Linked DNA regions of Oryctolagus cuniculus. The protein of the gene in region 3 purifies or fractionates together with the protein of the main gene of each other region. This does not show direct contact. Links are inferred from orthologs where the notes say so. Each region holds a gene or a part of one and is shown on either strand. Other genes may lie near its edges. The genes, in order: DCUN1D3, CUL2 and CAND1.

Evidence for each region.
Region 1: the proteins of CAND1 (region 3) and DCUN1D3 purify together in Homo sapiens (affinity purification with western blotting; 3 studies listed by BioGRID, with this or other methods). This does not show direct contact. The link is inferred for Oryctolagus cuniculus from reciprocal best matches to the Homo sapiens genes CAND1 and DCUN1D3.
Region 2: the proteins of CAND1 (region 3) and CUL2 purify together in Homo sapiens (affinity purification with western blotting; 7 studies listed by BioGRID and IntAct, with this or other methods). This does not show direct contact. The link is inferred for Oryctolagus cuniculus from reciprocal best matches to the Homo sapiens genes CAND1 and CUL2.

The regions. Positions count from the first base shown.
Region 1 is NC_091450.1:18,308,820-18,313,081, reverse strand, and holds the start of DCUN1D3 (DCN1-like protein 3), read right to left. Parts: upstream 2,810-4,262; coding exon 2,379-2,809; exon of another isoform or gene 1,971-2,378; coding exon of another isoform or gene 1,961-1,970; exon of another isoform or gene 1,193-1,960; coding exon 709-1,192; 3' UTR 1-708. UniProt on the Homo sapiens protein: Contributes to the neddylation of all cullins by transferring NEDD8 from N-terminally acetylated NEDD8-conjugating E2s enzyme to different cullin C-terminal domain-RBX complexes and may play a role in the cell cycle progression by regulating the SCF ubiquitin E3 ligase complex, after UV damage.
Region 2 is NC_091444.1:107,487,816-107,491,325, reverse strand, and holds part of CUL2 (cullin-2), read right to left. Parts: intron 1,533-3,510; coding exon 1,370-1,532; intron 1-1,369.
Region 3 is NC_091442.1:69,618,222-69,622,474, forward strand, and holds the start of CAND1 (cullin-associated NEDD8-dissociated protein 1), read left to right. Parts: upstream 1-1,449; 5' UTR 1,450-1,781; coding exon 1,782-1,849; intron 1,850-4,253. UniProt on the Homo sapiens protein: Key assembly factor of SCF (SKP1-CUL1-F-box protein) E3 ubiquitin ligase complexes that promotes the exchange of the substrate-recognition F-box subunit in SCF complexes, thereby playing a key role in the cellular repertoire of SCF complexes.

The DNA.
Region 1 (4,262 bases), on a different chromosome or scaffold from region 3:
CAACATGAAATGCAGTAGGTCAAAGAAGGAATGAGCAAGAAGTGAGGGAAATAAGGGTTTTGGATAAATTAGCTTAAAAGGGAAGTTATCACCAGACTACACAAACGCTCTTGACTGGCCTCAGCTCCCCAAGAGCTCTAAACTTGTCTGGAAATTAATGCAATGTGGTTAACAGTTAACACTGCTACTCAAAATCTGTGTAAATCTTTAAAAATAATTATTACAACCTAAATTCAACCATGTAAACAGCACTACACACAGTACAGACCTGCCCTGAAAAACAGTATGCAAAACTGAGATCTGGCACTGTATCATTTTGTAATGTTAATTCAACCGAACAGTCCCATTCCCCCCACCCGGCTCTATACTGGCCCCCACCAAAAAAAAAAAAAAAAATCATCCAATTTGTGCAAGAAATGGCAGACTTATTCTATCTGAAGGCTTCAAAAAAAGATACACAACATGTAGCCAGGTTCAAATATTTTGGGGGATTACCCCCCCCAAAAAAAAGAAATAACCAAAATAACCAAAAAATGAAGAAAGTGCCTAAAACATGATACAGCATTTTAGAGCCCTTTCAGATACAAGGCAGAGAAAGGTGTAAAGTAGAAAATATCCGGATCTTCAGTAATTTCCAGAAAGGTCCAATTCCTTGGTTGGCTGCAGGACAGCAGGCAGCTCTTTGCTGCTGCTCCTGGGACAGAGCCACTAAGTCTGCTCCTCGGGACACAAGCCCTCGGGCCCTGAGCTGAGTGCACCTCTCCCTTCCCCTTCTCTTTTCCTTCGCTCCATTTCCCACTCCACAAAGGTATCAAAGAGACTTGGCCAGGCCTCATCTTCACTGTAGTTGCTGAGGTCGGGGCCAATCACCTGAGTGAAGTTAAGGAACATGTTCCAAGTGTCCCGGGAGATGCCCTTGATCCCCGAGGGGTTCTCTGTTAGGAAGTTTAGCCACTGGTCCAATACTGGAGGGTTGTTTTGAGTGAAGACTAGTTTCCACAGGGCAATGGCTATTTCCCGATGCAGTGACCGCTGCCCTTCTTCAGAGTCCAGGCCAAACTGAAATGTAAACCGGTAGAGATCCTTGAATTTATCCTCCTGTTTGGCTTCTGTTAAGAGGCTAGGGAACCGCGCACAGATCCCGTCAATGCTGTCTGCACTTATTGCCTTGCAGCCATCGAAAAACTCCTTCCTGCAACAGAAAGAAGGCACAAATTAGTTATAACCGATATTATTTACCGAGGGCAACAGAGTATAGTAATCAAGAGTATGGCATTGAGGCAGGATGGCCTGGATCAAATGCCAGCTCCTGCACTAAGTAGTCCTCCTTCCTCATCTGCCAAGTGGTGAGTAAATGTTACACCTCACCTTGCAGGGTTCTGGTGAGGGGTAAACACGTTAGCACGAGTACCGAGTGTTTCCAACACTGCCAAGCACACGGCAGGCAGCTAGTCCCCTGCCTCCTGCTGGGTCTGCTGCCCTGCACTGGTGATGAGGTTGCAGCCTCTTTCTCCTCGATGGAGAAGCCTTCCTGCCTCCCTTTCGATTCTCTCTGGGTTGTTTTGGTATCTTTCTGGTGACAGCCAAGAGACACTTCTGGAGCCCGAGAGGCAGGATAAAATTTAAGTCTGCCACCAGAGATAAAAACTGTGCTATTAAATAACAAAACTTGCGTACACATATTTAACATCTTTGTAACACTTCCAGCTGACAGCACGGTTTCCTCTCTGGGACTGCTGTACCCACCAAGATTAGGGAGTCCAGGTCTGGAGGGTAAGCTACCTGGGGGCATATAGACTAGAAATGGCTTGGCCAGGTCTCATAACCTGCGCTCAGCAAACCACCCCTTGGGGTGACCCTGTCACGTCTTCACCCACAAGCAACTTCTACAGGGATATAAGACCACAACGACATGAAACTGCTGCTTGATAACTGGGCCACCTGTCCTTGTTTCATACAGGTCTGGCTGAGGGCAATACGGTAAGGATGAGAAGGGACAACTGGGCTCACGGAGTGGCAGAGGCACATCCCTGGAGGTTCTCACTGTACTGGCACACACAGCACCTGCCACAGGACGGACAGTGAATTCTCAAGTACCTCAAGATTCCTATTGAGTGGGTCTGCTACAGAGTCAGGCACTTACTTTTTTAAACCCTCAGAGGAGTCTTGGGAGGGAGGTGGCAGGGGGAGGCCTTCTCTGGATCAGGAACACAACTTAGCTCAAAACATCTGCTTTTGAGAAACTGGTCAGAGCACAAGGATTTTCCCTTCCCCAAACCCCATGCAGCTGACCCAGTTATCCTAGCTGAGCACTCCTGCACAACATTGCTCCGTTTCCTCCTCTGCTCACCTGGTAACATGAAGTATTTGTAACTAACCTGGTGAATTTGCACATGGTAGCAGCCTGGAACTTCCAAGCCAAGAGCAGCACTCGAAATTCCGTGGGGTCGACACATAGGTCATTGCAAAAGCGTTCCATGCCTTCTTCCAAAATTGCATCCTCCCGCTCGTCCTTGTAGCGCCTGAACAGTTCTTCCAACCTCTGCAAGGAAGACTCTTCAGCATTGGACTTGGACTCCCTCCCAGCATCTCCCGAGGACGTTGGCAACTGGCAGACCTCAGTGGCAGCCTCCGCCTTCTTGGTCCCATTGACGAGGATATCCCCACCTGGCTTGCCACAAGGTGGCACCTGTTCCTCACGGTGGCCTGCACTTCGCCTGCTGTGTGATTTGCTGCTGGAGTCCCGGTCTCCATTCTTGCTGCCCAAGGTTGATGAGGGATTCTTGCACTTGGTGACACACTGGCCCATGGTGCTGGCGGCCTGGCCTCTAAAGTGGCCCCCTCTGGAATGGATGCCCTCGCTGCCGCTGGCCCATGTACTTCAACATGCCATCAGCCAGAGGAACCAGCCAACCTGGGAGGAAATTGGAAAGCAGTCACCTCTTGAACACAGAACACAGGGCATGGGCGGGGGCACCACCCTCTGGGGACTGCTTCCTGGGGATCACTGCGTTTCAATGAGCCAACAAGGAATGAAGGGAGATCACCTCCCTGATAAGCCAGCTCTGTAACTTGCCTTGGAAAAGCAGTGGCTATGGCACATATGGAAAACCAATATGGGAAATTCCTAAAATTCTTAAGGTAACAGGTTACAAAGAAGCTGATTCATGTGCAGAACACATCAAAGACCACAGTTCTGCCAAATATTCCAGAGGAAATCTGTCTTGCCAATTCATCATCATGCAAAAAATTTATGTGGACCTGGATTAAGCCAGAGGGTACAAATATAAGGTTTATTTTCTAGTTTTTAACACCGTCACACTCAGATTTTCTTTTTCCATACATGGGATTAATAGAGGGAGGGAGTGGCCATACCCAAAACAACTATAGGGTCTCACAATAGCTTAACAATGAGGTAAGGGATTTGCAGTGTCAGGCCTGCGAACAAGGGCAGAACCAAACATCAAAGTAAAGTTCATCCCTGATCTCTCCAGATCCCTTTCTGGGCCTATCCCACATAGCAGGTGTAAGGCCCTTTCTTTGCTCAGCTACGGAAGCCATTCACCATCCCTGTACTCCAAGCAAAGTCTCCTAACCTAGGAGCTTTTTTTTTTTTTATTCCCTCCCTTTTATGTCTTTAGTGAGGCTGTACAGAATGCATGCCAAGTTCTCATTAAACATGACAGTCCTAGCAGGCTTCTAATGGGGTATGTGTCTCTGCTCTAAAGGACTGATTTGTCTAAATACGATCTTCTAAAAATGGTAGGATATGGGGGCAGGAATTGTGATGCAAAAGGATAAGCCACTGCTTGGGATGCTCACATGCCGTCCTGGAGTCCTAGCTACTCAGTTTCTGACCCAGCCTCCTGCTCCTGCATCTTGGGAGGCAGCAGATGATGGCCCCAGTGCTTGGGGCCCTGCCACCCCCATCGGAAAGGGACCTAAAGGGAATGTAATTTCTCTGAGACTACCCTGTCTATCCAGGGCTCCTTTTTTTCTTACGTGTTTATTTTTATCTACTTAAATGGCAACAGAGACAGAGACACAGAGATCTTTCTTGTGCTGGTTCACTCCCCAAATGCCCACAACAACTATGCTGGGCCAGGCCAAAGCCAGGAACCTAGAAGTCCATCCAGGTCTCTCCATGGGTGGAAAGAGCCCAAGCACTTAAGCCTCCCAGGCACTTAGGCTGCCTCCCAGGATGCATTAGGAGGAAGCTGGATCAGAAGCAGAGATCCTAGGACTCAGAACTGGCACTCTGC
Region 2 (3,510 bases), on a different chromosome or scaffold from region 3:
AGAAAGACAGAGAGAGCTCCCACCCACTGGACCACACCCCCCAGATGCCCACAATGGTCCCCAGGCAGGACTGAGGCCGGCAGCCAGGGACCTCATCCAGGTCTCCCACACAGATGGCAGGCACCGAAACACTTGGGCCATCTGTCCCCACGGCAGGAAGCCGGAGCCAGGGGCCAGAGCCAGGTATAGATAGAACCTACACTCCAATACAGGATGCAGGTGTCTCAGCCTCTGGGCCAAATGCGCACCCCCCACTATCTTAACTACTGCGGTTTTCCCATCATGCTCTTCAAGACCATCCTGGCTTATCAATGCTGCTAAAAATCACGGGGGTTTAGCACCTGGCTCCTGGCTTCGGATCGGCACAGCTCCGGACGTTGTGGCCATTTGGGAGTGAACCAACAGACAGAAGACCTCTCTCTCTGTTTCTCCCTCTCACTGTCTCACTCTCAAATAAATAAATAAAATCTTACAAGGAAAAGTCACAGGGTTTTGATTGGATTGCCCTGCATGCATAAGTCGATGTGGCTTTTTAACAGTATTCACTTTTCTATAAAGGTAAGCATGTCTTGTTAGGTTTATTTGTGCTGCCTGGTAATTCTTCAAACCATTTTTTCTTTATCTGAGAGACTGCATTTTTCCACTGTTCACTCTAAGTTTCTCAGTGTATTTTAATGTTCTATTTCCTGTATTTTGAGTCAGATTGAATACTGTTCTATATTGTCTATTTCTATTTCCTTTTCACAGACTTTGCCTTTACTCCTATTGTTTATATAAGTAATTCTGAACATATTAAGGAAATTAGTCCTTGTGACATTTAAAATTATAGACACTTTCCTCGTTTTTTTTTTTTTCTAACTTTAGGATTCATATTGAAAACAAAATATTTCAGAATAATCTTTCAAAATACACTATTAATAATTTATTTAAAAAGTAAATCAAACATTTTAAAATCTATTATTAACAAATGCTTTCAATCTATGGTGGCTAGAAGATGATATAAAACTGAGTTTAAAATACTTATTTACTTTCATTTTATTTGAAAAGCAGAGAGACAAAGACAGATCTTCTGTCCACTGGTTCACTCCCGAATGCCCACACAGCCAGGGCTGTCCCAGTCCAAAGCCAGAGGCCAGGAGCTCCATCCGGTCTCCAATGGGGTGCAGGGGCCCAAGCACTGGAGCTACCACTGCTGCCTCCCAGGGCTCACATCAGCAGGGAGCTGGTCAGGAGCAGAGTCGTGGGGACTGCACTAGCACTCGGATGCGGGATGTGGGTGTCCCACGAGGCCACCTGCCTGCTGTCCGCACCCCACCCGTGAGGTGGGCTTACGCCTCACTTTCTGTTGCGGGTCTCTGATGGGACTCACCGTTCTTCTTCTCTTGCCGAATGATGTTATGACATTCCGCATGCAGGAACTGCAAGTGGTCTGCTACCATCCGCTGCTGACATTCATGGATCACTTTGATATAGGAGCTTGGATGTAAGTATTTTCGACACCGAATTTCTTCATCTTTTAATCTACCTAGAACCTGTGGAAATATTTTTATGGTCATGGACTACTAAGTTTTACTATGAACAGAAATTTGTAATGGCACCAAGGCCATCAGGCAGCCAACTTCTAATGGGCCACTGAGACCCAGCACGGGTTACGACCAGGCTTCTGTAACCAGCCCAGACCCATGTTCTAGACACCACTTCACATTCTCCTTCAAGCTGCTGGCTGTCACCTACATTCCATCACAGTCATGAACAAGGACCAGCCTTTAGAAGCCTGCATTGCAGCAGGAAGAACCAGAACAAGCAGTCCCCACCGTGTGACTACTCACCAAACTAAGAGGGACAGCTCACACTGCACCACGGGCGCCAACCCAACAACCTGACCTGGCGCTCCCTCCTTGTCAAGTGGGAACACACAGTGTGTGCACGACGGAAATGCTCACTGCAGACTGATCAGAGTGTGGTATCCCAGAAGAATGCACAAGTATTACAAGTCAATAAAAAATTAAACCCATGTGCATGCTAGTTAACCATCACATTAAAGCTCTCCAGAAAATTAGCAAAGTCAAAATATATTTAGTAATAATCAAACATGTCAATCAAAACCTTTATTAAATCTTAGCCTATATAAAAGCTCTGAGCTACACACAATGGACTGGTTAACACTAAGAACTCATTCCTACTTCAAAACAAAACTACAACAAGGCTCAATGAAACGTGCCCGTACAGCTTGGAATCACTGTACTGCATGAAGCTATGTAGCTGAGTTTCTTTAATTTGAGAAACAGAAAAAGATGGAAACAGACAGAGAAGTCCTATTCTATCCGCTGGCTTACTCCTCAAATGCATCACAAGTCAGGGTTGGGCCAGGAACTCCATCCAGGTCTCCATGTGGGTGGCAGGGACCCCAGGTCTTGAGCCATCACCTGCGGCCTCCCAGGGCACACACTGGCCGGAAGCTGGAACCAGGAGCACAGCCAAGAACAGACCCCAGGCACTCCAACAGAGGACACGACATCCAGCATCCCTGTAACCCGTGCACCATGGGACTGCCCCTGGAGTCCCTGAGCCTGCCTGGCCAGGGAGCAGCGTGCATGTGACCATCTGGAGGACACCCGAGCCTGCCCTGGCACGAGAAGCTCATGTTGGGAGGGGACAGACTCCTGCACACCTTGTCGGTGATCTGGCACAGACCCAGCGTCCTTCCTGCCGTGCCCCCTGTGAAGCCAGGAGCTTGGGCCAAAGTCACAGAAGCAAGGGTAGTGGGTAAGAAGGGCTCTCAGCTAAAAAGGTGCTCACCACACCACTCATCAACCGGGAGTCTTTTCAGCCAGCGAGCTTTTGGCCAAAATAAAATAGAAACAACCCTTAAAGGGCTACACGTATCAGTCATTGACAGCACAGTGCGAGTGACTTTACTGTGCTTGTTAAACTACCTGCAGGTGGCATGTGGGGCTGAGGGGGGAGGGAGGATGACTGGGGGAGAATCAGAAGTCTGCTAACTTGGGGGAAGTTGCGCATCTCCAGAGCTGGCCTCAGGCAGCCTCAGGCCCACTGGAGGCCAGGGAAAGGCCAAAACCAGAGGAGACCCAGAAAGCAGCAGGAAGGCTGCGCTCTCAGGTCAGCCTACCCACTTCCAAGTGCGGAGGGCAGGTTCTAGGACTTTGGCGCGTGAAGCTAGTATCTCCTAAAATCAACTACAATCAATGCTATTTAATGACTCAGGACACCATTTATATCCTACCCATGAAGTGTCCAGTTCTACAGCTGCTAAACTTTGGTACAACACAGATCGCAGGATCTGCCCCGTAACCTTCTAATTCACCACCTTCACAACGCGGGTAAGCACGCGACGGTCTTTTTCAAACCACTGTCATCACCCAGATACAAACTGCAACCAGCGACAGTCAGCCAACACCACCTCCTCCTGTGACACTGCCCACTCCCGAGGCTTCCTGCCAGCAGAGCCACACAGCAGCTGATGTCCTGTGTGCAGCTCCCCAACCTGGT
Region 3 (4,253 bases):
CAGAAAAATGTTGTGTATATTATACAAAAGCATACACGAAGGCAGACCAGAGCAGCGACGGGCACTTTGGATACGTATTGTGAGGGCAAATCACGCTTCATCTGTTTTATTAACTGCTATTATCCGTACCTGAGTCTGACCTAGAAGACTCAGTAGCATTTGGTGAAAGTGGGAAAGAACGGTAAAGAAATGCCAAACCGGATTTGATGTTTTGGAAGTAGGATGCCCTTTCTAAAGGTCTGTTGTTGTCTTTAAACAAAATCTCTGACCAAGGTTAATTTTTCCTCTTTTTTAAAAGGCCTGCCAGCTAAATCACCCACCACCTCAAACTCAGATTTTTACGTGTGGACCCCTAGCTGGCAAATATTATCTGGAAAACTCCTAATATGAGGCAGATGAAACACTTGGATGGTATACAATGGCTCGGATAGCTCATCTCCGATGGTTGTGCTTGTACGTCTGAGGCAGCGACGAAATACTCAGCTGAAAGATCAAGTCACGAAAGCTGACGTACAGAAGATGGTCCTTTAGCTATTTCGGACAGAACGCGCAGGCCCACTGGTCTTTTACTAAAATTGGGCCGCCATTAGAGAGCGCGCTCTGCACTCCCGGAAGGAGTGCGTTAACCAGCGAAGTCGGGAGGCCCAAATGCCTCTACAGAGGCAAGGATTCGTGCAAGAGGCCGCCACTGGGTCTCTGCCAGGGACACCAACCGGACCGCAATGCGCCTGTCCGAACCGCAGCCGCCTAGCTCGGCAAACGTCGCCAACGAAGAGCGTGTGTTCACAGTACGAACCCGAGGCGGAAACGGAGCGGTGATTGAAAGGTCGTCCCCAGCACGCCTCCCGCGCCAGCCTGCAAATCCCAGCATTCACTCCTCCCACAGGAGCCAATGAGAACGCTACAAGTTCCTGCAGCCAATCACATCCCGACTCAGCGTAGCGCACGTTGAATTCTGGGACTTGTGGTTTTCACGTGGCAGCTTCAGTCTGGTGGTTAAAGGCAACAGGCCACGCGTCCGATTCAAAACGAAAACTCCCTCTTAGAATTCTTTATGGTCTCCAGGCTGTCCCCTTAATCACCATAATCTCCAGGCACTACACGCCTTTAAATTAGTGAACTTTTTATCTTAATGTCATACAGATAAGAAAATCAAGTATTTTCAGATTAAGGCCCGTTTGTAGCTTCCGTCCCTCGTCCTTTAACCGTCACCCTGAAATCTCGCGAGAATAGCCCCCTTCAGTCGTTGTCATGCCTCCTGGGAGGCGGTCCACGAGAAGACTGACATCGGCCTTAGCCAACAGAATTGCCCTTTAACAAGCGTCTCAAGCGTGCGCGGGGAGGCCTCCGTGAACTCTGACTTCGGCTTTCCGTAGCGTCCTCCGCCTGTCGCCCCGCCCCCGGAGCGAAGGAGGCGGGTTTTGGCCTCCTGCCCTAGCGATCGAGTGCGGAGGGAGTGGGAGCTAGACGGCCCGAGTGGAAGTGTCTGGGTCCCGGGAGAAGCCCTGCTGTGCGCCGTGCCGCCCATGAGTCCGCTCTCCCGCCAGCAGCGCGGTCGTTAGCCCAGCCCCGCAGCCTCTGCTTCCCCCGGGACGGGCCCACCCTCGCCGCGGAGGCAGCCTGCCGAGGCGCCTCCCTAGTCAGCGTCGGCGTCGCGCTGCGACCCTGGAAGCGGGAGCCGCCGCGAGCGGGAGGAGGAGCCCGAGCGGCGGCGGCGGCGGCGGCGGCGGCAGCGGGCAGCAGCACCAGCGGCGCCGGCGGGCGGGATCGGGGCCGTCAACATGGCGAGCGCCTCGTACCACATTTCCAACTTGCTGGAAAAAATGACATCCAGCGACAAGGACTTTAGGTGAGGCCGCAATCTGACCCTCACCCCACCTCGGGGGGCCCCCCGTCCGCGGCCCTGGCCCTCACGCAAGGCCCTGCCCCACCCCTTGGGCCTTCGCCGGCTTCCTCGCTTCACCGCGGCCGCCAGCCCGCCGCTCGGCTGGCTCCCTGATCCCGGGACCCCCCCCACCTTTTCCTCGCCCCGCTTCCAGCCCCCTCCCCCCTTCTTGCCTCGAGGCCGTTGCCACAGCCATCCCTAGGCCCCTTCCTTCCTGGCCTCTAAGCGCCCCCGCCGCAGGCCCTGACCCTACGGACGCCATCCTCGGCTCCCAGGTAGCGCCGAGGGGCGAGAGCACCCACCATTGTGTGGAAGGGGAGTTGCTCTGCGGCCGGGCCCGCGCGCCGGCCTTGCCGAGGCTTTAGGCCGCCCCGCTCACGGGGGCCCCCGCGGCCGCCTCCCTGGCTCCCGCAGGCTGGGGTCGGCGCAGCGATTCGCTTTGGTCGAGCCCTTCGCTGACTGAGTTCTGTACTTTTTTTCTTTGCATTCTTTTCGGTGTCGGAGCGGAGAAGTGGGGGAGGGGAGCCTGAAGGCAGAGACTTGGCCAGGAGGGTTTTCCCGCCAGCATCTCTTGTCAGTTTCCGTCGTCAGGTGAAACCCACGCAGGGTCTCGGGGTTTCAGCCTCATATGCCTACATCCAGAGTCCGAACGAGCCGGACCTTCCTGGAAGGAGTTCTCTGACACGGGGCTGGGGAATGCGAAGCTTTATACAGCAGTCTGTTTCAGGAGGCTTGTGCTGTTGCTTCCAGATTCTTGTCACATGCATGTTGAAGACATGCTGTGTTTTCACAAGTTGATTATCTGTGGGCCTTTTTTTTTTCCCCTCCTCGCACACTGCATTGATTGTTGCATTCCTTTACAAATAAATACATATGCTCTGTCTCTCACAAACATGCTTTTTTATTTCTGCACCTTCAGTTTTACACGTGTCATTTATGTGCATTTAAAAAGAACGAGCAAGTAATCTTCAACTAAGTTATAGCCAGTTTGTACGTGTTGTCTGAACAGGACGTTTTAACAGGAAAATGGGTCCAAACTCAGCCGGCAAGAAATGTTCTAACTTGGGAAAGGAGAGCCATGGAAAAAGCAATAATTGTGATCCTACTTAGATTGATGGTGTTTGTCATATTAAAATGGTCACTGAAGTGCAGTTTTGGTTCTGTGGCTTCAAAACCACATGCTTTTGGAAAAGTTTTGCTACCTAGGGAGTGTAAGTGTTGTGTCTGAAACTTAAAACCAGTTTGTTAACCTGAAAGATTTTGGCGTTGTTACTTTTTGGAAGTGAGGTGCTTGTTTTGGGTAGTTTGGAATTTGAGATGTGTGTAGTTGGAAGGGCAAAATCAAGATTATTGGGTGGAAAATAAAAGTTTTATGTTTTAAGAATGAGGATGCTGTTTGATTTCCTTTGGAACTTTGCTTGCTCCCAATTCCAGTTACTGAAATGGAAATGCTTGAGTGAGACTTGGATGTAACTTTCAGCCATGGAAAATCTGTGCTGTGTCTCTTCCTGCTTCTGTCAGTTTGTCTTATTCTGTAGAAGAACTGATCTATTCTTATTGTTTTTCATTTCAGTCTAAAGGTAGCACTTTCCCTGTTGTGCAGTTTTAACTTTACAGAATCCTATGTGGGTAATATATTTAGAAATACTTAGAAGTCATGTCATGTGGTGATACTGTACAGATAGATGTCTGTTGACTGAAGCCAGCTCTTTTCAATTTCTTGCAAAGGAAACATAGTATCAAGGTACTTTTAAGAGTTGTGGAAAATGGAATTAAAAGACAAGTTTATTCTGCTGCAAAAAACTTTTTTTTAATCCATGCATAGTTTTTTCATAATATGCATTTTCTATGAACTTTTTGAAAACCTTTGTGTAGGGTGTATGTCCCTGGGGTTTGGTTTTATTTTGTTTTAAACTATGTGAAGGAAGTAACAATGTGTGATGCTACTCTGTAGTTATTGCTGAATTTACTAAGAATTTTCTACTGATTTGGGTTGGAATGAACCAGAACATAGCTTGACTAGGTAGTGTAATATTAATATATAATAGTTGGTGAATGTTGTAGAAGCTTTGTTGAGGAATAGTAAGCAACTTCCAGCAATTTGACATCCCCGAGGTGTTTTTAATGAACTATGTTGTAAAAACTGTTTTGTAATGTGCTTCAGTTCACAGGCAAATCTTTGGAAGCTGAGGAATTTTTTGTATTAAGTTACAGATTTAAAGATTAATTGAAGTAGTGAGCATTTAAAGTAAACAGTTTTGAAGATTTTTCTGCCTAATTTCAGTATGGGTGTTTATCTTGATACAGTTGTTCTTTTTTAACTTCTTGTTAGAAATTTCTTTATTTTGGTATAAATAGCACAGATGAT